Arabidopsis thaliana: one gene and its partners. The protein of the gene in region 1 interacts with the protein of each later gene in a pairwise test. Each region holds a gene or a part of one and is shown on either strand. Other genes may lie near its edges.

The links.
Region 2: the proteins of RABA1e (region 1) and ABC4 interact in a two-hybrid assay, tested with the Arabidopsis thaliana proteins (one large-scale study listed by BioGRID).
Region 3: the proteins of RABA1e (region 1) and AAP5 interact in a two-hybrid assay, tested with the Arabidopsis thaliana proteins (one large-scale study listed by BioGRID).
Region 4: the proteins of RABA1e (region 1) and AT2G25520 interact in a two-hybrid assay, tested with the Arabidopsis thaliana proteins (one large-scale study listed by BioGRID).

What each region holds. Positions count from the first base shown.
Region 1 is NC_003075.7:10,181,468-10,188,496, reverse strand, and holds RABA1e (RAB GTPase homolog A1E), read left to right. Parts: upstream 1-3,113; 5' UTR 3,114-3,273; coding exon 3,274-3,494; intron 3,495-4,161; coding exon 4,162-4,594; 3' UTR 4,595-4,826; downstream 4,827-7,029. Other genes in the region: AT4G18440 (L-Aspartase-like family protein), read left to right, coding at 1-90, 238-453, 547-729, 829-1,050, 1,139-1,255, 1,345-1,488, 1,570-1,671, 1,737-1,805 and 1 more; AT4G18425 (transmembrane protein, putative (DUF679)), read left to right, coding at 6,435-7,029. UniProt on the Arabidopsis thaliana protein: Intracellular vesicle trafficking and protein transport.
Region 2 is NC_003070.9:22,322,627-22,331,271, forward strand, and holds ABC4 (UbiA prenyltransferase family protein), read right to left. Parts: upstream 4,734-8,645; 5' UTR 4,313-4,733; intron 4,144-4,312; 5' UTR 4,134-4,143; coding exon 4,044-4,133; intron 3,965-4,043; coding exon 3,740-3,964; intron 3,659-3,739; coding exon 3,555-3,658; intron 3,462-3,554; coding exon 3,390-3,461; intron 3,302-3,389; coding exon 3,163-3,301; intron 3,087-3,162; coding exon 2,980-3,086; intron 2,894-2,979; coding exon 2,794-2,893; intron 2,720-2,793; coding exon 2,681-2,719; intron 2,596-2,680; coding exon 2,485-2,595; intron 2,407-2,484; coding exon 2,341-2,406; intron 2,277-2,340; coding exon 2,181-2,276; 3' UTR 1,811-2,180; downstream 1-1,810. Other genes in the region: AT1G60610 (SBP (S-ribonuclease binding protein) family protein), read right to left, coding at 5,373-5,918, 5,995-6,362, 6,452-6,560; RPAC43 (RNA polymerase I subunit 43), read left to right, coding at 8,599-8,645. UniProt on the Arabidopsis thaliana protein: Involved in the synthesis of phylloquinone (vitamin K1). Catalyzes the transfer of a prenyl chain to 2-carboxy-1,4-naphthoquinone.
Region 3 is NC_003070.9:16,763,418-16,772,022, forward strand, and holds AAP5 (amino acid permease 5), read right to left. Parts: upstream 4,269-8,605; 5' UTR 3,807-4,268; coding exon 3,719-3,806; intron 3,303-3,718; coding exon 3,069-3,302; intron 3,022-3,068; exon of another isoform or gene 2,842-3,021; intron 2,768-2,841; coding exon 2,674-2,767; intron 2,433-2,673; coding exon 2,060-2,432; intron 1,888-2,059; coding exon 1,234-1,887; 3' UTR 975-1,233; downstream 1-974. UniProt on the Arabidopsis thaliana protein: Amino acid-proton symporter. Stereospecific transporter with a broad specificity for glutamate and both neutral and basic amino acids. Reduced affinities for asparagine and valine.
Region 4 is NC_003071.7:10,856,743-10,864,102, reverse strand, and holds AT2G25520 (Drug/metabolite transporter superfamily protein), read right to left. Parts: upstream 3,436-7,360; 5' UTR 3,154-3,435; coding exon 2,110-3,153; 3' UTR 1,693-2,109; downstream 1-1,692. Other genes in the region: AT2G25530 (AFG1-like ATPase family protein), read right to left, coding at 1-140, 230-372, 443-579, 645-837, 907-1,044; AT2G25510 (uncharacterized protein), read right to left, coding at 7,020-7,331.

The DNA of each region.
Region 1 (7,029 bases):
CCTTTGGATGGACGTTATTGGAGTAAAGTTAAGGACTTGGCTTCTTCTTTGAGCGAGTTTGGATTGATCTATTTCCGAGTTTTTGTCGAGGTAAGTGAAGGGTTATGATCTGATTGGTTGATTGATTGAGAAGATTGTACTAGTTATGTCATGCTATATCTCTTTGTACGAGTAGTTTAGTTGTCTGGTCTAGTGTACTCATTTGCCTAAACTTTGATATTTTTATATATTTGTTAGATCAAATGGCTTCTTAAGCTTTCGAATATTCCTGAAGTCACTGAAGTTCCAAGCTTTAGCAAAGAAGCTCAGAGTTTCTTGCAAGGCATAATCGATGGATTTAGCATAGACGATGCATTGGAAATTAAGAAGATTGAGAGAGTAACAAATCATGATGTGAAAGCAGTGGAGTATTTCTTGAAACAAAAGTGTGAATCACAACCAGAGATTGCTAAGGTTTAGGTTCTTTTCTCTCACTTATAAGTTCTTAGGGTTTGGATGCTTTGATGCCCTGTAACTAAAATTTTGGATGTCTTTTTACTGAGTTAGGTTCTTGAGTTTTTCCATTTCGCTTGCACGTCTGAGGACATCAACAATCTTTCCCATGCTTTGATGCTTCAAGAAGCACTTAGTTCGGTTATACTTCCTACCATGGATGAGCTGATCAAGTCAATCTCTCTGATAGCTAAGAACTTTGCTTATGTCCCCATGCTTTCACGAACTCATGGGCAGGTAATGTCCAAAGAGAAGACCTTCACCATTTTACCTTTCCCTATTTATCTGTATCTATCTCTTTACTAATGATTTTGTTTACTATGAATTGTAATGCAGCCAGCTACGCCAACAACTTTGGGGAAAGAAATGGCGAATTTTGCTGTGAGGTTAAGCGAAGAAAGGAGATATCTTTCAGAAACTAAGATTAAGGGGAAATTTGCAGGTGCTGTTGGGAACTACAACGCCCATATTTCCGCATATTCGAATATTGACTGGCCTCATGTTTCCGAGGAGTTTGTTACTTCTCTTGGATTAACATTCAACCCATACGTGACTCAGGTAATATAGTTTATATTGATCAAACAATCCTATTCAAATTCATAAAGATCATCGCTGATTGATTGTTCTGTGTGTATTTTTTTTGCAGATTGAACCTCATGACTATATGGCTAGACTTTTTAATAATATCAGCCAGTTCAACACTATTTTAATTGATTTTGACAGAGATATATGGAGCTACATATCTCTAGGGTACTTTAAGCAGGCAAGTGTTAATATAAGAAAGGAAAAAAAAAGATGTCAAATCATTTGAATCTGAATGGGAAAATCGTCTCATTGTTTGAGATTTTGCAGACAACTAAAGCGGGTGAAATTGGATCGTCGACAATGCCTCACAAAGTGAATCCTATTGACTTTGAGAACAGCGAAGGGAATCTAGGGAAAGCAAACGCAGAGCTTACTTTTCTCAGCATGAAGCTTCCCATTTCACGCATGCAGGTTTTAACATTTCTCCATATTCTATGTATCTCAGCTAGAGTGATGGAAGTAAACTAAGCCTGAAAAATGTACAATCTGCAGCGTGATTTAACTGATTCAACTGTCTTGAGAAACATGGGTGGAGCTTTAGGACACTCTCTTCTCGCTTACAAGAGTGCGATACAGGGAATCGGGAAGCTTCAGGTATTATTACCGTAGCCCTAAGAAATGTTTCCACTTGTCACAAACTAAGAATGTTCTTGATATAGGTTAATGAAGCTCGGTTAAAAGAAGATTTGGATGATAATTGGGAAGTCCTTGCTGAACCAATACAAACTGTAAATTTCTCGAGTTTCTAATCTTCTATATCAATCAAGATATTTGATGTATCTCTAATCCACAGAAGTATTATGGTATCAAATAAAGGTGATGAGGAGATACGGTGTCCCTGAGCCGTATGAGAAGCTGAAGGAGCTAACAAGAGGAAAAGCTGTGAATGAAGAAACCATAAGAACGTTTATCAAAGGTTTGGAATTGCCTTCAGAAGCAAAAGACCAACTTCTGGAGCTAACTCCACACACATATGTTGGTGCTGCTGCTGCATTGGCACTGGCCGTGGATGAAGCTCTGCACTTGGGACATTGATGATGATCAAAGTGGTGATAGATTGTCCTCTTTTATTATGGTATTCTTTTCGAAATTGGTGGAAAACAGAGACAATTTATAGGTCGGTGACTTGCAAGTCGTCGTTTAAAATGTTAAGAAAAATCTTGTACCATTGTTGTGTTATGTTTCCTCTTTGAGTGTCTGTGTTTTATCTAAGTCTTGAGCTATAAGCTGTGGTCAATGATTCTCGAACCAATACAAATTATTGTAATAAAATAGGTCATATACACATTGGTGTCAAATAATAAAGAGTTCTCAAGTTGAAATTCAATTTGAGTGGTTTTTGTTTTTCTTTATAACCAAGTGTTATGTAGGTATCAAAATCTAGCAAATATATATGCATATAGTAGTCAAATAAATTGTCCACAGAAACAAAACTGAGAAATAATAATGTTAAAATGTTGTTTGTCAATTAAGAGCTTTAAGTAATTCTTCTATTTATTGCTAACATTTACATGAACACAAATGTTTTAGCCTTTTAGGTCTAAAATAAATAATATAAGATCTATCTCAAAAACAAACTTACTAGTTTCCTTTAGACTTGATCTATTACTAAAAGTCTAGTACATGTGTCCAACAATAATCTCAACTCTACACTATATTTAGTGTCATATAAAAAAAATCCTTAGAAGTTAAAAATAGAAATGGAAAATTTCATGACAATATACCATAAAAAATCTTTTACCTAGATATCTTCCTACACATTGCTATAATTTTATTTATGAACAAATTTCCCTGTGATTTTATTTGAGAAAAGCTATAAATTGAATTATTGAATTGAAGACATAATAATATTGTTTTTTCCTGCAAGTGTATATTGTTCTGCGTTTACCAAGTTCATGGCGGCCATAAACCCGAAGATTTCGTCAAACATGTTTGTTCTCTAATCTTTCCAACGACTTTCAAAACATATACATATGCTAAGTCATGCATATAATAATAACAAATGATTGAATCCTAATATTATTCTTATTTTTATAACACTACCAAAACCAATAAGCCCTTTCGTCGTTACCCACTACCCATAATTTCATTTCATTACAAAACACAACAACACATCATTCATTTCATTAGATCATATTGCAACATCTCTCTGAATTCTTCTTTACGATTTTGTAACTTCTATCAAATACCTTAATAATGGGAGCCTACAGAGCCGACGACGACTACGATTATCTCTTCAAACTAGTCTTGATTGGAGATTCCGGCGTCGGAAAATCCAATCTTTTGTCTCGCTTCACCAGAAACGAATTCAGCATCGAGTCAAAGTCAACCATCGGTGTCGAGTTCGCCACAAGAAGTGTTCATGTCGACGAAAAAATCATCAAAGCTCAGCTTTGGGACACCGCTGGTCAAGAAAGGTAATAAATCCTCGAAATTTCACTGTTTTATCTCTATATGTTCTGTTTTGTTTCATTCTTTGAACCAAACCAAACCGAAATGGTTGAACAAAAATCAAACTGGATAATTTTACAAATTTGTTTGTTTTACTATTTTGAAACCAATATAAACTGATTTAGTGTAACCAAATAAACCGCATTTTTTTAGAAATCCTCTACTTTTGATTATGTATCTCTATGGAAATTAAATTGAAATAGTTATGTTACATTAATATAATATTAACTAGATCATGATTTATTTCAATTATCAATTTCGATTTTTTTTATAAATATAATATACTTTTAATTATGTATATGTATGGAAAATTGGAATAAGTATATTGCACTGATATAATATTTGACTAGATAATGATTTTATTTTAATAATCAATTTCTATAGATTAACCAAATATAACTTTCTTGGTAAAAAGTTTTTTTTGCTAAAAGGAACCAAATATAACTTAATTCAAATCAAGAACAAATTGGAAAATAAACCAGATTACAAATTATTTTATTTGGTTTTAATTTCTATTAACCGATATAATCAATAGCCGAAACTAACCAACCGTAAACCGATCTCCCACTCCTATGCTCTCTTTCTTCTCTATATGCTCTGTTTTTGAGTAATAGCGACTTATTTGTTATACAGATACAGAGCAATCACGAGTGCATACTACAGAGGAGCAGTGGGGGCACTTCTAGTATACGACATAACTCGACACATAACGTTCGAAAACGTTGAAAGATGGCTCAAGGAGCTTCGTGACCATACCGATGCCAACGTTGTAATCATGCTTGTTGGAAACAAAGCCGATCTTCGTCACCTTCGTGCAGTTCCCACAGAAGAAGCTAGATCATTCTCTGAAAGAGAAAACATGTTTTTCATGGAGACTTCTGCTTTGGATGCTACAAATGTCGAACAAGCTTTCACTCATGTCTTGACTCAAATCTATCGTGTAATGAGCCGTAAAGCTCTTGATGGTACTGGAGATCCGATGTCTTTACCTAAAGGACAAACCATTGATATCGGAAATAAGGATGATGTTACTGCTGTTAAATCTTCTGGTTGTTGCTCAGGTTGAGATTATTGTTTTTGTTTTTGTAAACTGTCTTTTTGGAAGAAGGCTTTGGCTTTGGTTTTGTTGTATTGGACTATTTTTGGGGGCTTCATTTTAAGGTTATGAGACCGGTTTGTTTTATAATACAAACCGAAGAATTGTATTGAATTGAACAAGACTTGGTCCGGTTAATAAGATAGTTTACTAATACCGAACTGATCAAACATATATGATCCCAAAAAGGGAACTATCAAACAACCATAATCTTAGCTTTTGGTGTAAGATTTAGTTATGATTTCTCTTTAGGACATGAGTAGCCGACTTGAATCGATACCAAAAGTCTGGTGCTAACAAAGCGAGAATCTGATAAACTTATTAGTAATGTGAATTATGATATGAACATTTTATCGTATCTAATCGAAAGATTATTAGCGTCCAAGAAAATAGCTTTTCTATACAACTAAATAGCATCGGCTAGTTTTTTTCTTAGGGTTTTTGAGTTCGAACCAGCGCAGGTACATGTTTAAAATATCTATTAGTAAACATATCGCATCAATATATATAAAAAGGAAATTAAACGTAACAAAAAAAAAATTAACTTACCAAACTTTAGAAATAATTGAAATAATTTACCAAAAACCAAAGAGAAGAAGAGGAAGATATGTATAACTTATTCCACACGGAAGCAAGTTAGGTCCACCGTCCAAATTATGAGAACACCTTTCCTTCCAAGTCTAAGGATGTTTATTGTTTCGTACACTTGACAATCATCATAATTATTCATGCGAATATTATTATATTTCTTATAAACTAAATCATGAATTATGATCATTTTTACTTTTTAGTACTGAAGAAATGAGAACAATGCAGCAAAATAGAAAAACTAAGCATCATGTGAATACGAAACCGGAGATTCAAAATTTTAACTACTTCAAAAATTAAGAATTGCGTCAAATAGTGAAACACCTCTTTAAATCTCTTGATTGTAAGACTCTTTGAAAATATTTTTTGGATATATTATAGCAAAATGTGTAACGTGTGAGGATTCGTATTAACTAACGTTAGTTAACTTAAAATAATGCCAACTAATAACTACACAAAAATTCCTTAAAAAGGAACCATGCATAAAGGTGAAAGAAACGAAAATTCGTGGTTGGTTGACTAAGCACTTTACGTTAAACATATATGTTTATCCAAAAATTAATTATCTATTTGTTAGACGTTACTTGACCTCCACAATGGATGGATTAGTCATATTTAAAAATTAACGAGATAATCAAAAGATTCTTAATATCCACTTTAAAAGTGAGAAAATATGATCGAGAATTCAAGATCCAAGTTATTAAATTGAAAGGGTCGATTTATAGCTGATGTTATACGACCCTCTTTGTCATTGACAAATGACACGGTCTCAAGAATAATCCCACTAGGATATTGATAACATTTACGACATTGATTTAGGTATATGAACAAATAAAAATAAACCATCAAAACAAAAATAAAAACAAAAATTAAAAGATTTGGTAACGACTCAGAAATGTCACGAAACTTTATAGAAACCTTGAAAGAAAAGAGGATTCTAAAACGTATCAAAATAGAGACGTAAAATATAATAATATTTATAATCCTCTCTTAAATAAAGAAGAGTGTGCAAAGAACATGCTTCACTTAAACAAAGACTTTGGTTTGGTCTCAAAGGTTACTTGCAAGGCATAAGAAATGTGTAAAGCCTCTTTTCTCTCGCCTCGCTCTATTATATATACCTCTACTTTAGATTTCATCAATCATCATCATTCCTTCTTACATCAAATCAATTCCTAAAATCAGAGAAAAACAGAGGGACAAAGGAAACAACTTCAAAGATATGGAGATCAAAGTTGACGAAGGTCATCAAAAAGGTACTAAAGAAGACATTACAAGGCCACTTCTTGAAGAAGACAAAGACTTCCCGGATATAGAAAGAACGACATGGATACAAAAGGCAATAGGTCAAACATTTCAAACCACTGCTCATTTAGCTAATCTCTTACCAACAGGAACCGTTCTCGCGTTTCAGCTTCTATCGCCAATTTTCTCAAATGGCGGTCAATGCGATTTAGTGAGCAAGATAATGACATCGACACTGGTAGCAATATGTGGATTCTCTTGCTTCATACTTAGCTTCACAGATTCTTACAAAGACAAAAACGGTACTATTTGCTATGGACTTGCAACAATCCATGGGTTTTGGATCATTGATGGATCCACAACTCTTCCTCAAGAGTTATCTAAGAGATATAAGCTAAGATTTATAGATTTTGTTCATGCTTTCATGTCGTTATTCGTGTTTGGTGCGGTGGTTTTATTCGATCGAAATGCGGTAAATTGTTTCTTTCCATCACCGTCAGCAGAAGCATTGGAAGTTCTTACAGCTTTGCCGGTAGGCGTAGGGGTGTTTTCTAGTATGTTGTTTGCAACAT
Region 2 (8,645 bases), on another chromosome or scaffold:
ATATGTGCATGTACATTTCTTTGATACATGTAATTGATTAGGTTAATCATATACATCCAATTTGACGGAGATAAAAAATCATAAAACATGCCATCCCATTATAGTATAGGCACCCATAAATTATACTAGCTATTTTATTGATTTTATATTTGATTGTATATATGATTTCAACTATATTAATATTACTTCTTATATCTGATATCAAAGATATATTCTCATATTTATTTCAGTCATACTAGCAATATTCCACTATATCCTTAAACCAACAAGGTTAGTGGTGCTACACAAAAAATTTTGAGGATACATTTTTCAATACAATGTTATTTTTATAGGATCTTGAAAGTCCTTTGCCGAAGACGCCGAAAAGAGATTAGTGAGCTACCAAATAGATATGGTTTATATCACTCTGAACCAAAAACAAAAAATCGCATTAGAGGAAAATATATGAACAGAAACAATTTGAAAATTTACAAAAATAGTTTATTTTTGAAGGCTGGTAATTTATTGCTAGTCTAAATTTTTATATTGAAAACTATGGAAGTATGTTTTACCTACTGTGACGGTAGGTAGGAAAAACGAATGGTGGTAAGCTTTGAAATGTGTCAGCAATGATAGATTGGGTTTGCTGGTTGCTAGATGTAGCAAAAAATTGGTGAGTCGGCGCAGTAGAACAATCCTGTACAAATATAGTTTAAAAATTGAAACAAGTATATATAGACTATATAGAGGAACACCTTTTGTATGAATAATTTGCTTAGAAGGCTGATAAGTTAAAACTATTCAAAAATAATCTACCTTGCTTGTATAGAAAACTATAGAACTTTACTTTACCTATTGTAATTGGTTATAAATCGTGTCACATGAACTAAATGTTATCAATAACTTCATATCAGTCTCCAATGAGTCAAAGTTAATAACATCATTGTTGATATGCTTCGAATCTTACCATAATTCACTTTTCCTCATATACATGTAAAACATAATTACTTAGTCTTCTATACAAGAAGTTTATATTAGTTTTGAATTACCAACCTTCAAAAGCAAACTATTGAACAATTGTCTCTATTCATTTATTCTCCTCTAATGACACTTTTTGATTTCTTGTAGATTGATCCTCCTTTAAGAGGTTAATTTTTGTTACCAAATTTTGTATTGACCAATATGTCTTTTGCGATTTTGTGTTAGACTTGTACAAATTGACAATTTTGATACTTTTGGTTTTTTGAACGATTTTGATATTCTTTGTATATTCTTTAGTTTTTTAATGTTTAGTTAGAATAATTAGAAGATGACACATATATATATATATAAAACAACAATATATACATTTCGTTAAGATTTTTAATGTTTTATATTAGTACTATATAAGTAATATTGAGATCCAAGTAATATATAATAATTTGTTGAGAAAATTAATAAAATGTAAAAAGCTTAAGAAAAATTACTAGCTTGTGGATTCTTTAGAGGATGTGAAAAGATTAGAATGAACTAGGCTTCTCGGCCATGAAGGTAATTCATAAAGCAACAACAGATCACGAGGAATCAAATTGCAATCAACAATGTCCACAATCTTCAACTTGGTCAATACCGTCAACTCATTACCATCAAAGTTATTAGAGCACACATAAAGCCTAATATATTATCATTTGAGCAGCCCATCTAAACCCGCTAATGATTTTGCTATAAAACCTAATAACATAGGCTGAATAGGCTTCTCAAATGATAATATTTTGGGGTTTTATGTGTTCTCTAATATAAATCTGGATCTCACCTTCTAATGATTTTCTTAAATGCACATGGGATCCAACTTCAGTGGTTTGGGATGGATTCAAGAATTGGAGAAAGGTCCATATCGAGAAACAATTATGTCCTACAAACACAAGCATAACCTCTTTGTTGGGCCATCTTGTGTGTTGGAAATCTGAATTACCTAACACAAACGCCGTCAACGGGCTTGCACTAAATCCGACATGGCCCATGTTTCAACATATCCATGGTGGCACCCGTCACTTTAACAATTGAGGATACAATCGCTCACCATGCTTGTGATTAATTTGAGACCTTTCACAACTGTTGTAAGTTCGAATGTTTCCTTTTAGCTACAGCATACTGTAGTGGCTAAACGTTTAGGTAGATACAACGAAGGCTAAAGAGAGAAACAAATGTTTGGTGACTGATTTCTAGCGCGCGATAACTAGCCCCAACGACAATGCGGCTCCAAGCAAGGCGTGGAGTCTCACACAGTAATACTTGGCCATGAATATCTTCCCATTATCCTGCATTAAAAGAATAGATTAGCAAAACTTTGAGTATTACAAATTTCAATTCTAAATATCTTACCTTGTGGTGCTTTTCAACGTAGCTTGAAACCAAATTCCCAACTGGTAATGTCAGGAAGCACATCAACTGAAACACCAACAACAAAAAGGAGGTTTTAATATATGTTCTTATATTTCAGTCATGTTCTCAAATCTGTTAACTTACGGTGCAAGGTAGTGGCAAAATCCTGGTTAAACCAAGAACAAGAAGCATTGAATATAGTAAACGAATAGTCCATCTCACAACAAAAGCTCCTTTTTCAGTCCCTAACCGAACCTGTGTCAACCAAAAAAAAACTCTAATCATAAACACAATCACCATATTCATATTAAACCTTGTTGAGTTTTTTTCACATTTGTACCAGAGGTGAATATTTCCCCACAGCTAAATCTCCATCCACCTATAGAATGTAAATGTAGTCAGTACTGTGTTTGTCATTTCAGGACTCATTAGACCACTTTTTCATTAACCAACCTGATGAAAGTGGCTGCAGAAAAGGATAAGAGATGTAGTAAAACCAACAAGGACAGATGATGAAAGGACCCTACCGCTTAGCGGAAGATGCCTCATCTCGCTGCCAAAACCGATTAACAAGCTTCCATTATTAACACCTCATGGAAACACGAATGGATTAGGCTTAAAACAAAATTTTGATATTACCTTGAGCTACCAAGAAGTAGATAAAAAGCAGTAGTAGCAAATGGACCAAATGCTGCAAAGCATAGAGGCTCTCCTAATCCTTGGTAACTTAACCGAAATGGCGGACACTAGTCACAAAGTATTACTCTAAGTTAGAAATCTCCTAGATTAGTATCAAATTGTCATCTAGGAAGTAACGTTCACCTGGTATACGTAGCCACAGAGTATTGCTGAGGCTAGCAATAGTATTGCACGGATATTACTTGCATTTAACGATGTCCAAACTAGACCAGAAACACCAAGCGCTAGCGATGTGATTGCAGCGGCTAAGGTTCCTGTCCGGCTTTTCCAAGTAAAACACAGTTTATTAGGATGGAACTCAAAAACATAAACTTCAAAGTTGCAAACTCTATCCTTTGATAATACTTTACCTTCCAACCAGATTTACTACTGATTCCATTTTGTTCTTATCAGCTCCGGTATCAAAATCATAAACATCATTGCTGCAAACATAAAACCATGTTTGGAAAGAGTAAATACATGAAAGAGTAAATACAGTCAACGAAAATGTTAAAAGGAATCAATCAATTAATCACCTTAGGTTGAGCCAAGTAATGATAAGAATTGATGAGAGCAATAGAGTAACATAACGTCTAGCTAAGAACAAACCCGTCTCTAAATAGGCCGCTGAAGCGCCAACCTGTGTGACATTTGAACAGTGAATATTCCCTAGCAGATAAAGGCAATGGAGGACATAGAAAGGTTTCTTGAGGAAACATACGGTAAGAGGAACTAAAGCGACAGAGTACATTGGTAGTTTGATTGCTCTCCATATCAATTTTGCTCTGGGAATCTCCTCTTCTTGGTAAACCTTTGCTGCATCTCCATAACTCTTACAAAAGATTGGCCTAACTCTAAGGTTTCTTCTTGGTTTAGCATTCAGATTCTCTCGTGCATTCGAACCAAACACCGGTAATCTAGTGATTACATCTCCTCTGCTGGGAAGCTAAGCTAAGTAATTTTAGTGACAGTACAAAGTAGATTATTGTCAAAGAACAAAGCTTTGGATGAAGTGCTAAGCCTACCTTGTGAATTTTCCGTTTCACAAACAAATCAGTTGAATTTTTGGGCACAAACCCATACTTTATGTCACAGAGAGAAACAAAATTCACCATTTTCAGGTTTCTGCATAAAACAAAAGAAAGAATTTCAGTTAACAGAGGAAGAACACTACTTCCGAGTTAAAGTCCGAGATTCTGGAACCCTATAACTAAAATCTTTGTTCTGGCATGAATCAGAGACAATGGAAAATGAGTAAGATGAAGTAAAAAAAGTATGAAGTTTGGAACTTTACCTTTTTTAACACGAATCTTTCGAAGAGAGTTAGCGACGGAAGTGGAGTCAGATCAAAACCACGACGTGATCATAACAAAATTCACTTGAGGAAAAATATTTCAACTTGGCTCGTCTACAACGAGATTTTCATGAACCCACGAATCTGGAATCTTAATTTGGAGAAGATAACGCACACAGAAGTACAGAACAAACTCATTGAACCTTATACAAAAACTGAGAGAAAAGTGCCCGAATTATGCCAATAAACAGGCAAAATTGAGTGACCAGAATCAGAATCAGAGGATTTGTGAAGGAATCTATGCAATGCAAATGTTGGGATTTCGTTATTCAGACAAGAATTTGAATGTTGGGTTTTGCGGAAGAGACGTGAATGATGAAGTGGATAACAGAAGCTCCCTCGTTGGAAGATAAAATCACGTGAGGTTCACGTGTCTTTGACCAATTTTAAATACAAGTAGAAAGGTGGGCCTTTAAGGCCCATTACTTTCGAGCCTTTGAGGGTTTGGTTGGTACAAACTACTACAAGTAAACTAGATTTGCATGATTTACAAATTAAACAATGTTGACATAATTTATAATTAAACCAAATTAATATTAATGCCAAAAATTAATATTCAGATGGGGAAATTAACTGCGTCTTTTTTATTTTTGCAAACGTAATATGATGTATATTAATATCAACTTTATTAGTATTTTTCTAACGGAAATATTGATCAAAATCCTTTACATTAAAAAAATATTGTTTTAGTACATAAATAACCTTACTTGGGAAACAAGTTTTGCAGCAAAAATATTAAGAAGAAAAAAATCAGCCAAAACAAGTTTAATAATTTCTTCTAACAATGTAATCCACAGCTTGACATATCGCACACGACACGGAACTCAATTATTATCTCGTGTTCAAAGAACGGCTGCTTAATAACTACGAAATAGCAGAATCATGCTATATAGGTTTAATGGCAAAAGCAAAGAAAGACTCGACCAAGTTTTCATTCATCACCACCATCACATACAAATATGTTCATCCACCATTTACTTTTCAAGAGTATGAAGACAACTCAGAAGAAGAAGACCTGAACGCTAGAAGTTTTCAAAGACTGGCAAACAGGACAAACACCAGTAAACACATCACAATCTTTACACAAACTCAAGTGCCTACATGGCACGAGCAAGACCGAAACATTCTTTACGTTACACAACTTACATCTCATCCCAGTACTTGGCATCCCCGGGATGTTCAAGTAATTGTAAGAAGCTGCTTCGTCATCAATCTCACTATCCCCAAACCCTTCTTTCATTTGATGATGATCAGCAACTCCTCCTCCTACTGCATTGTTGTCGTTTCCATGTGACATCACTTGTTGCAAATTTACCTTTAAGGCATTAACCACAGATTCATTGTATTTTGCTTTGTAATGCCAGTTCTGAGCTTCCACTGCCACTTGTTTTATCTTATCCACGAGTTCCCGGTTCTTCTTGTTCATGCTTTCAATCTCATGGTCTTTCTCTTGAAGCTTCTTACTCACATCCTTCTCTAAGGCCGTGACAAAGGACGTGACATGTCTCTGTTTAATATCTCTCACACCTTTCGCCATTTGATCTGCCTGTTCCAAGAGAGAACAATTTCAACGACATGGGATATGTAAGCAAAAACATACGCTTTGTAGATAAAATTAATACCCGGAATTTGATAAACTGATCAAGCTCGTCGTTCTGTCTATTGAGGTCCAATCTGATATTGTCACCGAGTGACTGATAGACTGGAGTTGTTATGCTTCCATTTGCTGAAGTTACAGAAGAGTTGCGCTCATCATCATCATAAGATAGTCTCAGACCAGTTGACACTAAGTTCTGCTTTGGGACTTCATCTTGAACAACAGTATTATTGTTGTTGTAGTTATAATTCAAAGAGATCTGCAGCTTCTGCTGTCTCTGCATAATATTGTTGTTTTCAGTTTCCCTTCCGCGTGTGCTATTAAGCCGCATCATAGGAGCAAGGTTATCATTAGCAAAGTAGTTTACAGGATCAATAGTACAACCAGCTCTCACTGCAACCACATACAAAGGAACAAGCTTTTAGCTCTATAAAGTTCTAACAACATTCAAACCAAATGAATAACAAAATTCAGAAACTTACTCGTCCCAAGCAAGTGAAGCTGATTCAACGATGTGTTTGATTGATACCGAAACTGGCTGTCGTTCATTAGAACCTGCGGCACAGGGTTATCATTGTTGCCTCCCAACATCTTCTCTAGAGCTTAACCGTTTTATGTGTATATATATACCCGTAAAGAACTGAAACAGAAAAATTACAGTAAGAAACCTGTAGACATACGAAACTAATTAGTTGTAAGATATGAAAGCTCAAATATCTTCAGCTTTTGACATGACGAGCCAAGATGTAATAAGATTTAACTGTCCTAAGCAATACAGATTACAATCCAACTAGAGACAAAGTTGAGATCTTTGAGGAAACTATGGTTCATGATCAACTCCTATGTGATGAACTTTCTTTGATCTTGCCTAGGAACCAAATTTAGAGATCATGGTCAAAGATTCATCTGAATATTAAACCAAGTAACAAAAAACAGGCAAAATAAATTATTATGTCAAAAGTGATAAAATAAGGCAAACCTCTGGAACATGGAAGAAAGATAGCAACTCCAAAGAACAAGACATAACCTAAAGATCTTGTAAGAGAGAAGCTAAGAGAAGATTTGTACCTGTTAGAGATTGCCCATAAAAAAAAATAAACCGTAGCTTCCTTCAGATCCTACAAACCTAAAAGAAATCATTATCACAGGCTCACAGCGATCCAAGTTTGCTTATTTGCATCAATTAAAGTTTAAAAAACAAAAAAAACTGTAAAATTAAGAAGTCGAAGAGAAGCTAAATCAATCAATGAATGATTCAGAATCTTAAGAAGAAGAAGATGGGTTTTGATGATAGAAACGCTTTGAAACAATAAAATCCAATAATTTAATTCAAAGATTTTAAATTTAAGGAGAAAGAAGAATAAAAGAAACGGATGGGAAAAAAGAAAGAATGAAATGAATGATGGAAAGGTGAGAAATCAGCAGAGGACAGGACACAGTTGTGAAGGAGTGGGAGGAGTTGGGTGGCAAAGTCGAGATATTAAAAACAAAACAAAAACTTGAAAAATAGACTCGAAAATAATACTAACATTTTTTTTTTGGGAGATGATGATAACAAGAATAGTAATAGTAACCGGTGGCGGTGGTATTGGTTCTGCTGATTTCCCCGTGAGTTGTGCCTTCTCTCTGGTGTGACGCCATTTTACTCTACTTTTCTCCATTTTCCCTCTGTCCTTTTTCTCCTTTTCTATTTTTTTCTTCCTGACCAGTTCAATTCTTCTTCTTCTTTTTTTAAATAAAGAAGAGTTCAAACTTTTAAAATGGGCAACACTAATTTGTTTGCTAATTTACGATAGGGACCCAATGTATGGTCGTCCGGTTTAGTCTTTTTGTTTTTTATTAGACTAAACTAAATTTGAAATCACATGTGGTTTGTTATTTATCTACTTTCGTGTTTGAGTTGATTGGAACTAGTTTTGGTTTTAGTTTTGTTTAGTTTCTTGGCTCATTCTTCTGGTTATCTTGGTATGCTATAATAAAAAAAATACTGGAGTGAGAACCTTCACCATTATGGGTTTGAACTGCCATAACTAAATTTGGAGAATATGATTATTCAGATCGGGTTTGTTTAGAAATCGACATTTCTACTTATATTTGGAAAAGTTATATAGTAGAAAATCAAACAAAATGTCGAATGTTATATTTCTCGTTTCATGATTTTCTATATATCTCATTTGTTTAATTATAAGACAGATTGTTTAGTTCGTTCTTTTCGTTTACTGTTTTCTCAAATTTGTTTTGTAGATTTTTTTTCCATATTCGGCGACCAATCATATAATTATCTTTTAACTAATATGTGGTTAATTAAAAAATAAAAAAATGTCGATTTGGTTCGGACTTAAGATTAGAATTTCGGTTTGGTGGTAACGAAAATTTTAAAAGTCAGAAATCAACCAAACTCCGGTTGGACGGTTCAGCCGCTTCGGTTCGGACTTAAGCCATGCCGCTATTAGAAAAATGGATGTTTTTTTTTCTAGTATTCACACGTGTCCATAAACCCTAATTTTCCAGTTTTATGAAATTGAAGAACGAAATTGAAGTGAAAAGTGAAATCGTGCAATTTTCATCTTCCTCTTCTCCTTAAACCCTGATTTCGGATTCTCACAATCGAACTTGGCTGCAGAGAAGGATGGGGACTAACGAAGTAACAAGGATTGTGACTGATGAAGAAAAGAG
Region 3 (8,605 bases), on another chromosome or scaffold:
TTTTTCCAAACTTTCTATTCTTAATGTGACATCTTTTGTAAAACAGTTTTTTTGTTGTTTATAATTTTACATTCATACAAAAAAAGATATTAAAACTGTCTTCTAATAACATGAATTTGGGTAGATCAAAATCAAATCATGTTGTCCCAGAATATCTGGTTTTAAGTGGTTTCTAGAATTTTTGGAAAATAATACATTTTACATTAATATTTTTATTTTTATAAATCTCAAAAATATTTTAGTAGCTTCATAAGGTCTCAACTAATCTACAAAAATATGTTTGAGATTCTTATTATTTATGGACCCATGAGAGCGTCATCAATACCATAAAACCAAAGAATTTTTGAAATGGAGTTATATCACATAGTTCATTCTGTTGAAGACAATGTGTATGATCTAGTTAGCTTAGGTATTTCAAACTAAAAAGACATGTTTGTCTTGTAAAAACAAAATGTGACATTGGTGTGCGTTACTCTAAATTCTTTACCGATCGACCCTAATACTACTTTGATTGCTTTGCACTTGTAGTTTAGGAAATTAAAACTATATCATCATTGGTTGAGTTATTTTTTATATTATTAAAGTTCTTGAGTATATATAAAACAAAAGAGTTGAGGTATCAAAAAGACACCAAGCATGTGATATTATTCTTAAGTACTTTCACTCATTTGATTGTATAGCTTTTGAATGTAACTAATGTTATTTATTGTGTAACTAACTGAGAATTCATCGATTGCTTTGTAAAAGAAAGATCAGAATATTTTCAGTGTCATATCATTATTCTCGATTTGCTTTTGTTAAATTTTAATTATTGTTTTGTCAAGGTAAACATTGATTATCTTATTTGTATGGCTTCATTAGGCATTGTTAGCTCAATTTTATCTAGGGGATCTTTAGTTTTGGAGAGTGTTTACAAGAAGATAAACGATTTAAGAATTTGAAGAATTTTGGAGATAAACACAAAACATCTTGTAGCTCCTTTGGTTTATAGACTTCTAAAATTAATTATAAGTATTAAATGTTTAATACATCTCTACTACCTCAAGTGTCGAAAAAGCTATCCTTATACATGACTACTTTTAATCATTGATAGTTCAATGTTGTAAGAATTCTCGGTAGAAACATGATTTATAATTGAACACTTACACAAAGTTAACTAATACAAATATGACATTAAAACATTCAATTCTAATCTTAACCCTTTTAGCAGGAGTTTATTTTTCCCGTATGATCTCAGAATTCAGACTGGAAAGGTTTGTAGACCTTGAGATCACTAACAATGCCAATAACAGATCCCGCGGCCGCGGCTACGGACACAAAAAGACATGTCACACTCAAGACTTGTAGACAAACCCACTTTGTGCCCCATCTCGGAACATTCTTCTGTGCAATGTACATTTCCACTGGGAAATAAACCGTTAAAGGCCAAAAACCAATGGCCCCCAAGAGACCGACTACATCGTTAAAGAAAGGCATTAACATTGAGATCAACGTTGTTGTCATCACGAAGAACGTCCTCCATACGAGCCTGAAGAGATTCAAGTTAAAGGGCTTCCCCGGGAAGAGTTGGATCTTGATCTCTTTTGTGACGAATTCGCTCTCTGGAAACCTCCTAGAGGCTTCCTTCTCGACGAAGGCAAAGAGGGGTTGGCAATAGACTTGGTAAGCACCGACTAGATGGATCACTATAGCGAGATTAGCAATGTCAAGCAACCAATATGGGTTTCTAAACCCTCCATGAGCGAGGAGATTTCCGGGTGCGTTATCCCCAAATGCTGCATACCCTACACAGCCACATAGCATGTAGAAGACTGTAGTCACTGCCACACTTACAAAAGTCGCTTTTCTCATCGTGTTTACTTCGGCAGGCGGTGATTTCACCGTGTCCTGGATCATCAAATCGTCTAGTTGATTAAAACATCCTTTAAACAAACTCTTATCACACAAACTCGCTTAACAAATAAACCAAACGATGCACTAGTTGTAACAACGTTATTTTTCTTTTGAATCTAACTTAACATTATTTTCAAAAAAAAAAAAACTCGCGTAACAAAAATACCTGAATTTCGATGAGAATCATCGAGTAAGAGTACGCAAACGCAATGTTGCCAAGAGACTGAAATGTTCTCCATATTTTCTGCGACGATGTCACTGTCCCACTCAGTGTCACTGTCCCAACAGTGACTCCAGTGAGACTACCTTTAATTTCTTTGTTCTCTACCACTTTAGAGACACCAAGGCCAAGTCCAATGGCAGAATAAGCAAAAGACATGACCGCAGCGACAATGGAAAGCCACCATAACTGATCAAAATCAGGAATCTGAGAGAATATGATTTGTACAATACCAAACGCAATCATGTAAACATTTCCATTAACATGACAAGGATCATTTGGTCCATTCATCTGTTGGCAACTTGTCCTTTGGATTGCTCTGTAAATTTTTTATTCAAGAAAATTAGTTAACAAGTCAAACAATAATAGAGCCGTTCTTTCGAATCTTTAATGGCACAAAACAAGACTACATTGACTAAAACACTGCATTATTGAGCCAAACATTAATGACTTGTATGGACAATATTGAATAGCAAAATAAAACACGCATCTAACTTTTTTTGGACAAATGTGAACAATTAAAATAAAAAGAGTTTTGTGAAAGCAAAGTTTTAACTTACACCAAACTTATAGCTGATGCAATTGTATATCCAATTGCTGTACCAAATAGATTAACATATTGCACAACTCCACATACTTTCACCTTAATCCCACCTAAAAATGAATCAAGAATGAATTAAGTTTTTGATGATAATAACTATTGGGATATGGAACCGATATGGAGAACCAGAGATCGACAGAGATCAACGGTTGAAATGACAAGGCCAAGATACGGCAAGAAAATATTATTCTAAAAGATAAATGTTAAACTTTCTAAACTTCAATATTAACATTTATCTTCTAGAATAATATCTTTTTGTTATATCTTGGCCTTGTCATCTCAACCGTCGATCTTCGGTTCAATATCCCAATATATGCACCAAAAAGAAACCGAAATGATTTTTTTTTTGTTTACCGAGGTTGGAGTGAATAGCGTCCATGTAAGTGTAGTTTCTTTTGCCGGTAACAGAGTCACCAGATCGGTAACAAGAACAGAGAAGGGTAGATGTGTAAAAAGTAACGAAAGAAAAGAGTAACATAGCCACTGGACCACCAATCCAACCAATCTGAGCAACGGCCCATGCCAATGACAACACTCCTGACCCAATTACTGCTGTTATTATGTGTGCACTTGCTGTCCACACCGTCCCTAAACACCAATCACATTCAAACAGAATTTTAAGACAAGAACTGTAGTAACAATAAAGTCTGTTTTGTTTAACCGTTAATTTTAAGACAACAACTGTAGTAACAATAGTGTTCATACACTTTAGTAACAAAAATCATACTTTTCCATAACATCCACACAAAAAAAGAAGTAGGAATTTGTCACCCCTTAACAAACAAAGCCTATGCATATATTTACTGTAGATGTTTTAAATTGCAAGTTCAACAGACTCCGGGTTTCGGTTTGTATCCCGAAACCCGGAATTAAAAAAATTCCGGGTTTCGGGTTCAAATCCCCGGTTATAGGAAACAGAGACTAATTTTATATTTACTTTGATTCTTGTTTGAACAGATTAGAGAAACATAAAACATAAAATTAGAGAAAAAAAGAGAAATTACCGGTTCGCTTGGGACGACCATCATCATCGAATGAATCCGAGCTATGTTTCGGAAGAACATCCAAATCTTGAACATTCTGAACGACCATCTTCTTCTTTTGGTCGACAATAAGACCAAAATTTACTAAGAAGAATCCAAACTTTACCGACAGGAAAAACGGTTGAAAAAGTTTTACTTGTTTTGTGTTTTCTCGTATAGATCTTGAATTTTTTTAAGACCAGAAGAAGAAGTGAAATCAACGATTATTCAGCGAGAAGAAGAATGATTTTGACCAAATAAAATCAACGGTGACAAGAGACCGATGTTTTCTATGGACCAGAGATTATATAATTGGAAGAGAGTGAAAGTATAGGAATTGACAAAGTAGAGATTAGAAATGCATGATAATATAAATACTGACCAAAGCTTTTGTTGTTTCACTAATTTATAAGCACCGTGGAAGACGGAGACATCCAACTTGTAAGAAGGAAGAAGCAGAGGAAACCGCATGTGCTTTTTTTTTTTTTTTTGTGAGGACTACAAAAATAGTTTATCTTTTTATGAGAAAATGGTTTCATTGTTATACATTAGTGACAACAAGTGCAAAATGTCAAATCTTATAAATTACATATAAGCTAAACAATCAAACTAAATTTTAAGATTTTTACCTTTAAAATATAGATATTTTAATTTTAAATTTTAGAAACAATGATTCATGTCCTTATAATTTAAGAGTATTTGAGTAAATCAAAGTAATTTAAGAAAATATATAATTAGAGATATAGTAGTTTTTATTATTATTGATTATTATGTTATATGTACTTTTGATGTCAAGAGAAAGTTGAAGGAAGATTTAACTTTTGAAATTCGTTATATCATTTGTAAATGAACGATTTGGTGGTATACTTATATTAATATTTTAGAATCATTTATCATAGGCATTACTCAAAAAAAACAAAATATATTTAACATGGGCATGTGTTCAACCATAATTATAAACAAATTGATAAAGTATATATTTTATTAATTTGTTATTTAAATAATTAACGTTTACCATGGACTTCTTTCGTCTATATCTAGTATATTTCTAAAAACTTTCGGTTGGTTTTGAGGAAATGAAAGTGGAAACTATGTATAGTGGTGTTTGCATGTTATGAGTTTGGTCACATTATATACTCTTTTTTGGTTGATAGGTTCTCACAAATTGAAGTTACAAAACAATGTTAAATATTCTCGATTATTTTCCATTTTATTTGTGGAGTTTTTGTATGAACATGCAAAATACACCTCGATTAGATGAAGTTTTTCAACATAACATTGCTAGAATTGCTAGGATTAATCTCAATTCTTAAAAATTCCATAAAAGCTAAACATCAAACCAAATTTTAAGATTTTTACCTTTAAAATATAGATATTTTAATTTTAAAATTTAAAAACAATGATTCATGTCCTTAATTTAATGAGTATTTGAGTAAATTAAAGTAATTATAATTAGAGATATAGTTGTTTTTTCATTATTATTGATTATTATGTTATATGTACTTTTGATGTCAAGAGAAAGTTGACGGAGGATTTAACTTTTCAAATTCCTTATATCATTTGTTTTTTTTTTGTCAACCGGAATTAATTAAACTCAAACGAACCAATTCCGAGGAATTAAAAATAAAGAGATGCTAATAAATTTTTCTTTCTCGCTCTTAAATTCTTTCAAATACACTGGAAACACCGACCATTCGGTTGGAAAATACACTGTCGTTATATCATTTCTAAAGAGTATAAATGAACGATTTGGTGGTATACTTTACTATTTTAGAATCATTTATCATAGGCAATTAGATATTATTTTGAAAAAGAAAATATATTTAAAATTTTGATGGGCAAGTTTTCAACCATAATTACAAACAAATTGATAAAGTAAATATTTTATTAATTTATTATTTAATAGTTATTTAAATAATTAACGTTTACCATGGACTTCTTTGTCTATATCTACTATGTTTCTAAAAACTTTCGGTTGGTTTGAGGAAATGAAAGTGGAAACTATGTAAAGTGGTGTTTGCCTGTTATGAGTTTGGTCATATTATATATACTCTATTTTCGTTGATAAATTCTCACAAATTGAAGTTACATAACAATGTTAAATATTCTCGATTATTTTCAATTTTATTTTTGGAGTTTTTGTATGAACATGCAAAATACACCTCAATTAGATGAAGTTTTTCAACATAACATTGATAGAATGGGTTTCACTTTTTTTAAATGCTTATTGCTGTGCAATGGTTTTCCGAAGTTTTCTGCATATATGAATTACCAAAAAATAGGAAATTTAATATAATCATTGGAACATCTAATCTATTATTTGAGTTGGAAAACATTTTGATTTTTCAGAACGATGTTGTTGGAAAACCAATAATTCATCTGAAAAGTATATTGATAGAAAAAGTTGACAAAAAAAAATATATATAGATGAAAAATAAATCAAAGTATCTGTTTTTCTTAATATATTTTTTAAAATTCATGCTTTGATATAGCTGTATTCAATGTGCAATTATATCTCGTGTTTGACACCAGATTTTGTGTCTGGAGTTAAAGCTGAGTTGCCTATATTTGGTCCACGCATTTGGGTATTCGGTTCGGTTTTAAATAGTATTAGTTCGATTAATTTTTGACAAATGTACTAAGAATTTCTGAATATTTTGGTTATGTTGGTCTAAAAATAATTAATAATTTTGGATTATAGTTGTAATTTTGGATAACTAAGAAATTTATTAATATGTTGAGTATATAATTTATATTTTGTACATTACATGACCAAGTAGGTGTTCGGTTCGATTCTGGTTCTTCAGATATAGGAGTTTGGGATTTCTTCAGATATTTTGTCTCTTTCGGGTTTAATTCGATTTTTTTTGTTGGATCGATATTAGTTCGGTTCTATTTAGATAGCATAAAAAAAATGAGATAAAATAAAATTAAATCATAATTTTGCGATTGTTTCTAAGTTGTAATAATCGTTGGAAATACCTTACATTTTAAGCTTCGATATTAAGCTACTAGATCAGTTTTGCCAATATTTTCAGATTATACCGACCAATAAGATTGACCTAACCGAGAATAACCATCTAGTCGTGTGCTCGAATAAAAACTAGATTTGAGTTGAATGATGGAACGAGATGCGGTAAGGTGTGGTAAGTTCACCATGGTTTTAGCTTTGGGAGATATTCTCCTCTTCTCCTCAAAGGTGATAAGTATCACAGTTGAATCCTGGATTCCGGTTGAGATATTGTCATCTTCTCCTTCAAGGTAATGGATTGTAAGTTAAGATTTAGAGCTTAATTTTTAACTGTAAGAATATAGGGTTTGTGGTTTATGTTTTGGTTTGATATATGGATGTACTTACCTATTAAATTGAACACCAACCATGTAAAGACACCTTAATTTATTGTGTATGTATATTTAAACTTTTAATTTACTTAAAGTTAATTTTCGGTGTTCTAGAACATGGGCTAGATGAGCATCTAGGCGTTATTAGGCGGTGAGGTAGATTTGGCGGACTATGCGGTCACTAAACAAATTAGACATTATTAGGTGGGTTTGTGCGGGTTAGGCGGATTTAAATGTGTCCTAATGTTAAAAATATATATATTTAAAATTGGGTCTAAAGACACCTATAATTTTTATATTCTACTTTCAAATGTTAAATTTCAATTCATTCTAAAAAATGTAAAAATGTTATAAATTTTCATAATGTTTTTTCAGCATCTCATATAATTATACAAATATTCTAAAACTGCCTTAAATCGCCTAGACTCCGACTAAGCATTTCTAGGCACTAGATGGAGGATTACCGTCCGTTTAGCGCATAGCGCTTTCTTGAACATTGCTAATTTTATTTTTACATATATAATTTAACAAAATCTACAAATAGAAAATAACTGAAAAGGGGGAAATCATTACAAATATGTCCAATTTTCCTGTGTATTAAATCATTTACAAGAAACAAAAATATTGGTCTAAATAAAAGCTCTTGATTCTTAACACTTAACACATTTTCTTTTGTCAACAATGATACAATATATATTATACGAACTTTAATACGACAGTATACTACAGCTTCACAAATCATTATGTTATATACTTATAGGTCATTCAAATTTTACCCATTTAAGAGTTTAAATAATACAATATGTCTTGAAAATCATAAAATGATAGTATAAAAAAAAGGAGAAGCCTTTAAGAGAAAATTGAAAAAAAAAGACTATTAATTTGAACTTTCATTATAAATTGATGGGAATGTGAGATAATACTGTGTGAATGCAGTGTCCAACAATAGAACTCTTTATTGAGGAAAAAGCCGCAACATTATTTAAATTGATTGGTGATGTTTGGAAAGATGGTGAATTGCGTACGACCATCGAAAGTTGGTCAGTAAAGTGACTTTGAATATCGATCGACTTACTCTCACTTACCATCGAGTTCAAAACTGTTGACCTTTTCAGTTTCCACCATTGAATACAAGTCAAAGTTCGATAATAATAATAATATCCCAAAAGAATTCGATAGTTCTTAAATAAATGACCAAAAAGCATGTCAAAAAGATAAAAATAAAATAATAATAATGGCCAAAAAGCTTCATACCAAAACAATGCGTAAACATTCTTAGTAATACATTTTTCAGAATCTAAGTCATACATTTTTATTCGTTTTTCAACTTATAAAAACAGAAACTGGAACAAAGCACCCTTTCTACATCCCAGTGGTCAAGTTGCCACTGCATGTAGGTTTAAGGATTTATTCTTGTAGACATACATGGCTAGCTAGTTGCAGATCTAACAAAGTATTTCGAAATTTTGTAGACAAAATTATATACTGAAGAAAAATATTGATTTGAGGGTAACGACAATTGTTAAA
Region 4 (7,360 bases), on another chromosome or scaffold:
CTACATTTCCATAGATATATAATCCTTTTGGAGCTGGTGGTACCGCGGGACGAGAACCGACAATCGAGTCCAATTTTCTCTCTCGGTTAAGGTACGATACCCATTTACCAACTCCAGGTTCTACATTCATCTGTCTCCGCCTAAAACACACGAAAGAAAACAAAACCATTTGAAAAAACTAACAAACAAATATTCAACTAAAAAAAGAAGCCATTGACAAAAACCTCACCCTAATACCCATCTTCCCAAAAGCTTTTGTCCCTGCTTATTCACAGATGCCCACATTCCATCATCTTCCTTCTTCTCAGCTTCTTCCACCATTAGCTTTCTTCGTTCCTCCTCTCTCTTCTTCTCCCACTCTGCTAATCTCACCTAAACACCGAAATGTTACACATCTATATGCAAACAATTGAACCAAATTGTTACACTATTTGCAATTTACATGATAATCCTCCATTTGCTTCTCGAAATGTTCCAATCTTCCAAACAAATTTTCGAATGCCGAAACAACTTTCTCTTGGTATGGATCATGTTGTAACCTCCCTTGCTCCACTAACTTAGAGTAATTCGTCAGTGGACCTGATAAAGGAGCGACATTAATCTCAATTGCATAATTCTCAACGAATTGAAGATTCTGAAAGTACCTGATGGTTGTTTGGGAGGATCAGAGGTGGAATAGGAACGAGCAACGAAGTGTAAGCCATTGGAGAGTCTTCTTTTACAAGAAAACGCTAGACGTAGAACAGTAGAGATCTGAGAAACATTAGGCATAATTTGTTGCTTCAGACTCCGATTGTGGTTTCTTCTCTGGAGACTAGCTTTACGATCACGGTTTAGCTACTGTTCCGGAGAAGAATTTAGAACGGTATTAATAGGTGTCGACGTGACGAACTATAAGAGAGCCACGTGGTGGAATATGGACCGTTTGTCGTATTGCTGATTTGGCTTATTAGTGTCCGTGTAGATTTCTTTAGTGGGTTTGGTAGAGATGTCAAAACTAGGATGCCAAATCTGCCAAACCCGATGTGGTCCGGTCCGTGACATGTATGATGTATCTGCATTTCGTTTGGTGCAGCCTAATTTGGACTAATAAAGTTTCGTCCGAGTCTAGAATACTACTGCCTGATATGTAGTAGATTCAAACAAAAAAAAGATATGTAGGAACTATGAGCTAGTTATAAGATTCCAGTTGAAATCAAACAAAACTGGTTTGTTAAGTTTTGGAATTTGATAGGATATAACCCAAATCCAAAAACAATTCTGCCAAGAGGTAGGATGGCTATTCAAAGTCACATTTCACAAAGTGACAAACCAAGCACCAATGCATGCTTATGAATTCTGTTCTGGAACAAAACAGCTTTTATGCCAAGCGAGAGTAGATCCGAATTGTGTTAAAAGTTCCCAAATATTCGCTGATGAGAAATCCATAACCCGTGAGCCTGTTTGAATGTTTTTAGTTTGGTATCTAACACCTATTTGGCCTGTCCCTTTACTCAGGACAGAAACTTGTTGAGACTAAAGGAAGGATATTTGTAGAGGTTAAATGAGACCATTGTATTCATATGATGGTGTCATGTGTCATATTATTGCAAGGGAACGTCGGTATGGGTATTTTGTTTATTTCCTTAAATTGTGGATCTTGCTACTAAATGATCCTACATAACCCATAAAATATCAAAAAGTTTTTGGTGTTGACCATCTTCTTGTGCCTTCCAACATACAACGGTTTCATTGGATAAAGAGAGACGTAAAAGGGACTTTCAATTTGACATTTAACAATCTCAATGGAGGGAAAAAATATAAAGAAGTACTACTAAAACAATTGTTACCCACAAAGATAGATTCATGAGGAAGTAAGAAACAAAATACAACTCAAAAGAAGAAGATACAATGGAGTTCAAAAGATTCATGAACCTCTAATTAAACACCCATCCATCACTATGTAATATAATCAGCCATAACTTAAAAATATAATCGCAAAACTAAAACGTAGACGAACGAACACCGACAATGATAATCATACCTATGAAAATGCAAAATCCATCTTCCCAAATCATTCTAACCTTGAAGCTCTTATTTCCTGAAATTGCATTCTTGAATCAGAACAGATCAATCTTGGGTTTCGTTGCGTTTAGCTTCACTTTCCCTCTCTTCCAAAAGCTTCCCAGCTTCGTCATCACTTGCCTGAACCTTCTTCTGTGCATCTTTAGCCTTCAACGCCTGTAACTTGCAGTGATTGTAATATCCAACACCCAAAAAGGCAAGTCCATAACCAAACAGATTGATAGGTGTGACCGTGTCCTTAATCACCGACCACGAGAATGCAATCAAGAGCCAATCCTTAACCACACCAGCCACATTCATAGTCAAAGCAGAGGTTTTCCCAACGAGCAAGAACACAGCAAGATTCAAAGCAAACGCACAAACAGAATTGGTTCCAAAGATCACGAAATCGAAATGGAAACTCGAAGTATCTCTAAGAACTGGAAACTCCACAAAGATCCAAGGAACAGAGAGGAAAACCAAACAACAAGGAGCAACGTAATAGAGAGAAGTGATTGGATTTAGATTGATTCCTTTAGAAGTAAGCAAGATCTGAATCAAAACCAACCTAGTGGCTTCAAAAGCAACAGCACCAAGCTGAAGAAAAACACCCCAACCATCAAACTTAGCTTCACCATAAGCAGCAATAGCAACACCAAACGAGATCGAAAGCATGTTAGTCATAGTCTGAGATTTGAAAGTCTCTTTCTTCAACAAAACCCCGATTGAGTAAACTGCTACAGGCATTAGGGCTTTGAGCATTTGAATGAAGGAAACAGAGAGGTAGATGTAAGCAGAGTTTGATAACCAGAGAGAAAGTGAGTACAACGCGCCGATTGGTACGACGGATCTGAGATAAGTCTCGCGTGACATTGAAACAGGCTCGACGACTTTGAAGACTTTGATGAGAATCACAGCTAAGGAAGAGCAAAAACCCATGTGGATCATGGTGAGAGTTATTGGGAATGGCCAATTATACATCTTCTTGTCGAGGATGTATTTGTTGTAGACGATGACTGTGAAGCTGAGGAAGATCCAGATTGCGACATAGGTGTATGAAAGGATGATCTTTTTGATCACTCCGTCGGAAAGTGCACGACCTTTCCCCATGGCGGTGGGTTTGTTTTCGCCGGAGAAGAAGATGGTGGTGGTGGTGCGCAGGATAAAGGATTAAGAGAGAGAGGTGCGCACGATAGAAGTCTCTCTCTCTTTGGGTCAATGTTTTTGGGTTTGGGGGAGAAAGAGACTTTGAGTTTGGTCTTGTAATGTAGAGGAAGGGCTTACGTGACTTTGTTATGCTACGTGGCGAAAAGGTGCGCGATTATTTGACGATTGGCGTATTGTGGGACCCGCATTTTTAATCATCTGTTTTCTAGTGGATTTATACTTAGTCTTTAAATTATGAAATAAATGTAACAAATGTTTTGTTTTGAACTCTTTTTTTAGTCAATTACGTTTTGTTAATTTCTCTAGGGTTTTTTAATATTGCGGAAAACTCACAGAAAGGAACACAATTTTACCTTAACTAATTTAGTAAAAATTAAATATTTGTATATCTTAACACTAAATAACGTCATTTTTGTTATAAAATTAATAAGCCAGTTATTTAGATAAAGTATGTGATGATGTATGTTTCCTGAAACGGCTTTTAGTCGAAACTCTTTAAGTTTACGTTGCCTTAAATTAATGACGAATCCCTAAAGCTATTAGTTAGAGACTTAAGAGTAATTAAATGGAAACTTGTAACGAAGAGAGTATGCGAAGTAAATAAATGGGAGAGAGTAACGATGAAACAAAGAGTCAACGTTTAAATTAGAGCGCGTGAATCTCACATCGCGACAGTTTTGCTGCGTCCCTCTTACGTTGCATTATTGGTGCCTTGGTGGTGGTGCTAATGTAGTTGTCGCAACGTTTGTTGGGTTACTTCGGGTCCAGAGTCCAGACGGGGTTTGTTGACCGACTCAGTACTTGTACAAATACCTGTCAAAATCTTGTCTTTCGCTCGCCTGATAAAATATTATTTGGTTTTGATTGTGGAATTATTCTGTTCAAAACTTCAAATGATTCAAACACTCAAAAGTCAAAACAAAAGCTTCTGGTGTAGAGACATTACAATATTTTTTTTCGACCATACATTTTCTATTAAATATATCATTTATTTGGTGTTGCCTAATCTGAAAGTTTAAATTTACAAAAAAAAAAGTTAGTAATAAATCTATAAATTAAAACGACTAAAATAATTTGGTATCTTATCATTCGTCTGAATACATATACCAAATTCAAAGTGAGATTATAAATTTTTCAAAACCGTTTCATGTGACAAGAGACTTTTTGGAAATCCCACGCCAAAGTTACAAAGGAACATTATTTATTTTGTAACTACAGTAACGTTTGCAAAAATAAATAAATTATCCGTAGTTACTACTTTCGGAACATTTGTTTTACGAAGAGTCTGACTGTCACATGGACAGCATTTCACCGATTACGTGACGTGCGAGGAAGTCATGTGGCCATATATAAAGTAGCTACTAACTTCCCATGTTCTGCACGCCAATTGCAAAAATACTTCTACTAATGTTTAACCAATACAGGCATATAGCGAATGAATCTTTTGCAAAGAAAGAAAAGAAACATTTTAGGAGGGAAAAATAAGTTTGTAGCAAACCGATTATGCAGTTACATTTACATTTCTCCCTTAATATTTATCTACTTTGTTTCTCTTTTACAGAGACATCATTTAGAATTTATAAATTATAATTACTAATAAGGGAAGCAAAGTTAATGAATAGAGACAAAACAAGAAACAGAGAGCTAGTAACGATAGAGAGAACGAAACAAACGATTCAGCCCGAGAGAACGAAACAAAAGTGGCGGATATGATAACATCAAAGTCGATCATTTTTTTAATTTCCGTTTTAAGGTGATTTTAGTTATTGAGTACTTATTATTATTATGATCTAATAAGTGCACAACTGCTTGCTTAGTAACTAGTAGTTCTGGTTACTTGAAATACAGGCTAATTGGTAATTCAAAATACGTAAAGTAACAAATATTATTTTTATCAGTTACATGCAAGTATGCAATCATATCTGATAGTATTTATCAACCGCGGACCCAATAGTACAAGCAGAAGTAAAACCTTCACCTAAACGAATCACCGTATAAAGTGGCATCCCCATAATTAAAACCGTGGACATTATTCATATAAATAACAAAAATAAGATACTGAATTAGTCGTGTCATAAGCCAGATACCAAAGCCGGATTCAACTGGAAACTTAGACGGAACTCTGCCAGAAAAACCGTTCTTTAGAGAGAGAGCCCATTACATTTTTTTACCTTCAATGGAAGAGTGGAGACAGTATGGTTCTATTGCTAATGTGGAGGAACCGTATATTCTTCTTCTCCATTCGTCATTTTATTAACAAAAGCTTGTTTCTTATATTTAAATATAAAAAAATTATATGAACCACATGTTGTTCAGTTTTGTGACAAAATGAATGATCTGTACATATATTTTTTAGTGTTTCTAACTTGTTATGTGCGGTTCTTCCATTTTTCTTTTCTTTTTTACTGTTAACAATTAATATTGTCAGTTTATATAACTTTATTTGAGTTTTATATTAATGAGATTTTGAAAAAAAAAAAAAAAAGATTTTGAAAATAAACAAAATACTTTGGCTATATAAACTATCCTATGTTGGATAAAATTTTTTCCAAAAATATTAATAATGACCAAAATTAGTAATTAATATGCCCAAAATTATAGCCCTCTGTTTTTTTTTTTGTCAAAATTTTCATATTAATAAGGAAAATTTACTTAGATGCTATACAAATTAGGTATACTAGGGCGAAACTCGCGCCAAACCACTGGGTTTTTTTTTTAATGCAACTTTGTTAAATTGTATGTATGTATTGAAATTATTTGTCGTGACACAATATATTTGTTATTTTTTAATAATATCCATATAGGTCTTTTTTTTTTTTGTTGGTAGCCATGTGTTGATTTATGTTGTCTAGCATTATCAATATTTTGATTTTTACTTTTCGACATTATGAGTTCGTATTTCGTGAATACTTTGAATAAGTCTAAATTGCAAACAACTTAGTATATATGGACACAAATCATTGAGTGAGTAAATTTTATATCTTATGAGATTAGTATGATGAGAAATAAGAAGGGAGGATCCTTTCCCATATTTAGCAGGTCGGCAGCCAAATGACTTAGGACCCTCGAATAGTAAAAAAATAAGTCCCGAAAGGCCCAAAATAAGAGTATTAATTTATTTACTTACCAATAATCATTTCTCTAAAAAAACAAAAATTAATTTTATTTGCACATTTTTTTTTTCTTTCTACTGCACCAACAAATATCTTATATTTTAACCTTTATCTTATAATATACATATATAAAAGTGTTAAGAAGATGATATTTTTTTTAAAATCCCAACTTTGTTTTTTTAGCTATAACAAAATAATATTTATAATTTTTATAATTAATCAAATAAATCCTGTTTAAAAAAAAATTGTTTCAGCCCTCCGAAATATCAAAACCTGTCTATTTGGACCGATCGAGACTGAACCACCCCTTTTTAAAAAATGCTCATATGTCATTGCGAGTGGATTATAAACCTAAATCCCAATCCAATGTTTTATTTGAAACTTACGTCCAAAATTTTAAAACCTAAAAAACAAGTTAGATCAGTGTCCTTGGGTTTTTGATCTAAATTTATGTGTTTGATATACTTTTGTAACTAAATTAAATCTAAATAAATTAATTAATAAATGGAAACATGTTATTTTCATAGAAGAAAGAGTTAATGCATGATTTAATTATGGTGATGTGTGTCATCGCTCGAGAGACACCACATCTTTTATATATAGGATAATGGCCTTTGTGGTTTAGCATGTCTGAGTTTAAACGATCCAACGTAAGTAATTAAGAGGCGTTTTATAACACAAAAGGAAATACAAGTTTTATTTATTATAGCGGCCGTTCGACAAACTATAAAATATGACAAACACATGCATAGGTAAACAAAGACAGAAGCCACAAACCAAACCACAATGTAAGAAACATGCACACACACACGCATTCGAAGCTAGATTGAGGTCAATGACCAGGTTCGTTTGTGCCTTTGAAAGACCTCTGGGGCGGAGGAGGAGATAAATGAAGACGACTACATGTGCCTTTTCGAAGACATTCCGGAATAGGCGGATCTTTTGGCGTAGGGCGTATAACCTTAGGAATATATTTTGGCTTAATAGGAATAGTAAAGCGTGCATCATGGTAAGTCTTTTCTGCACCTACACCACCC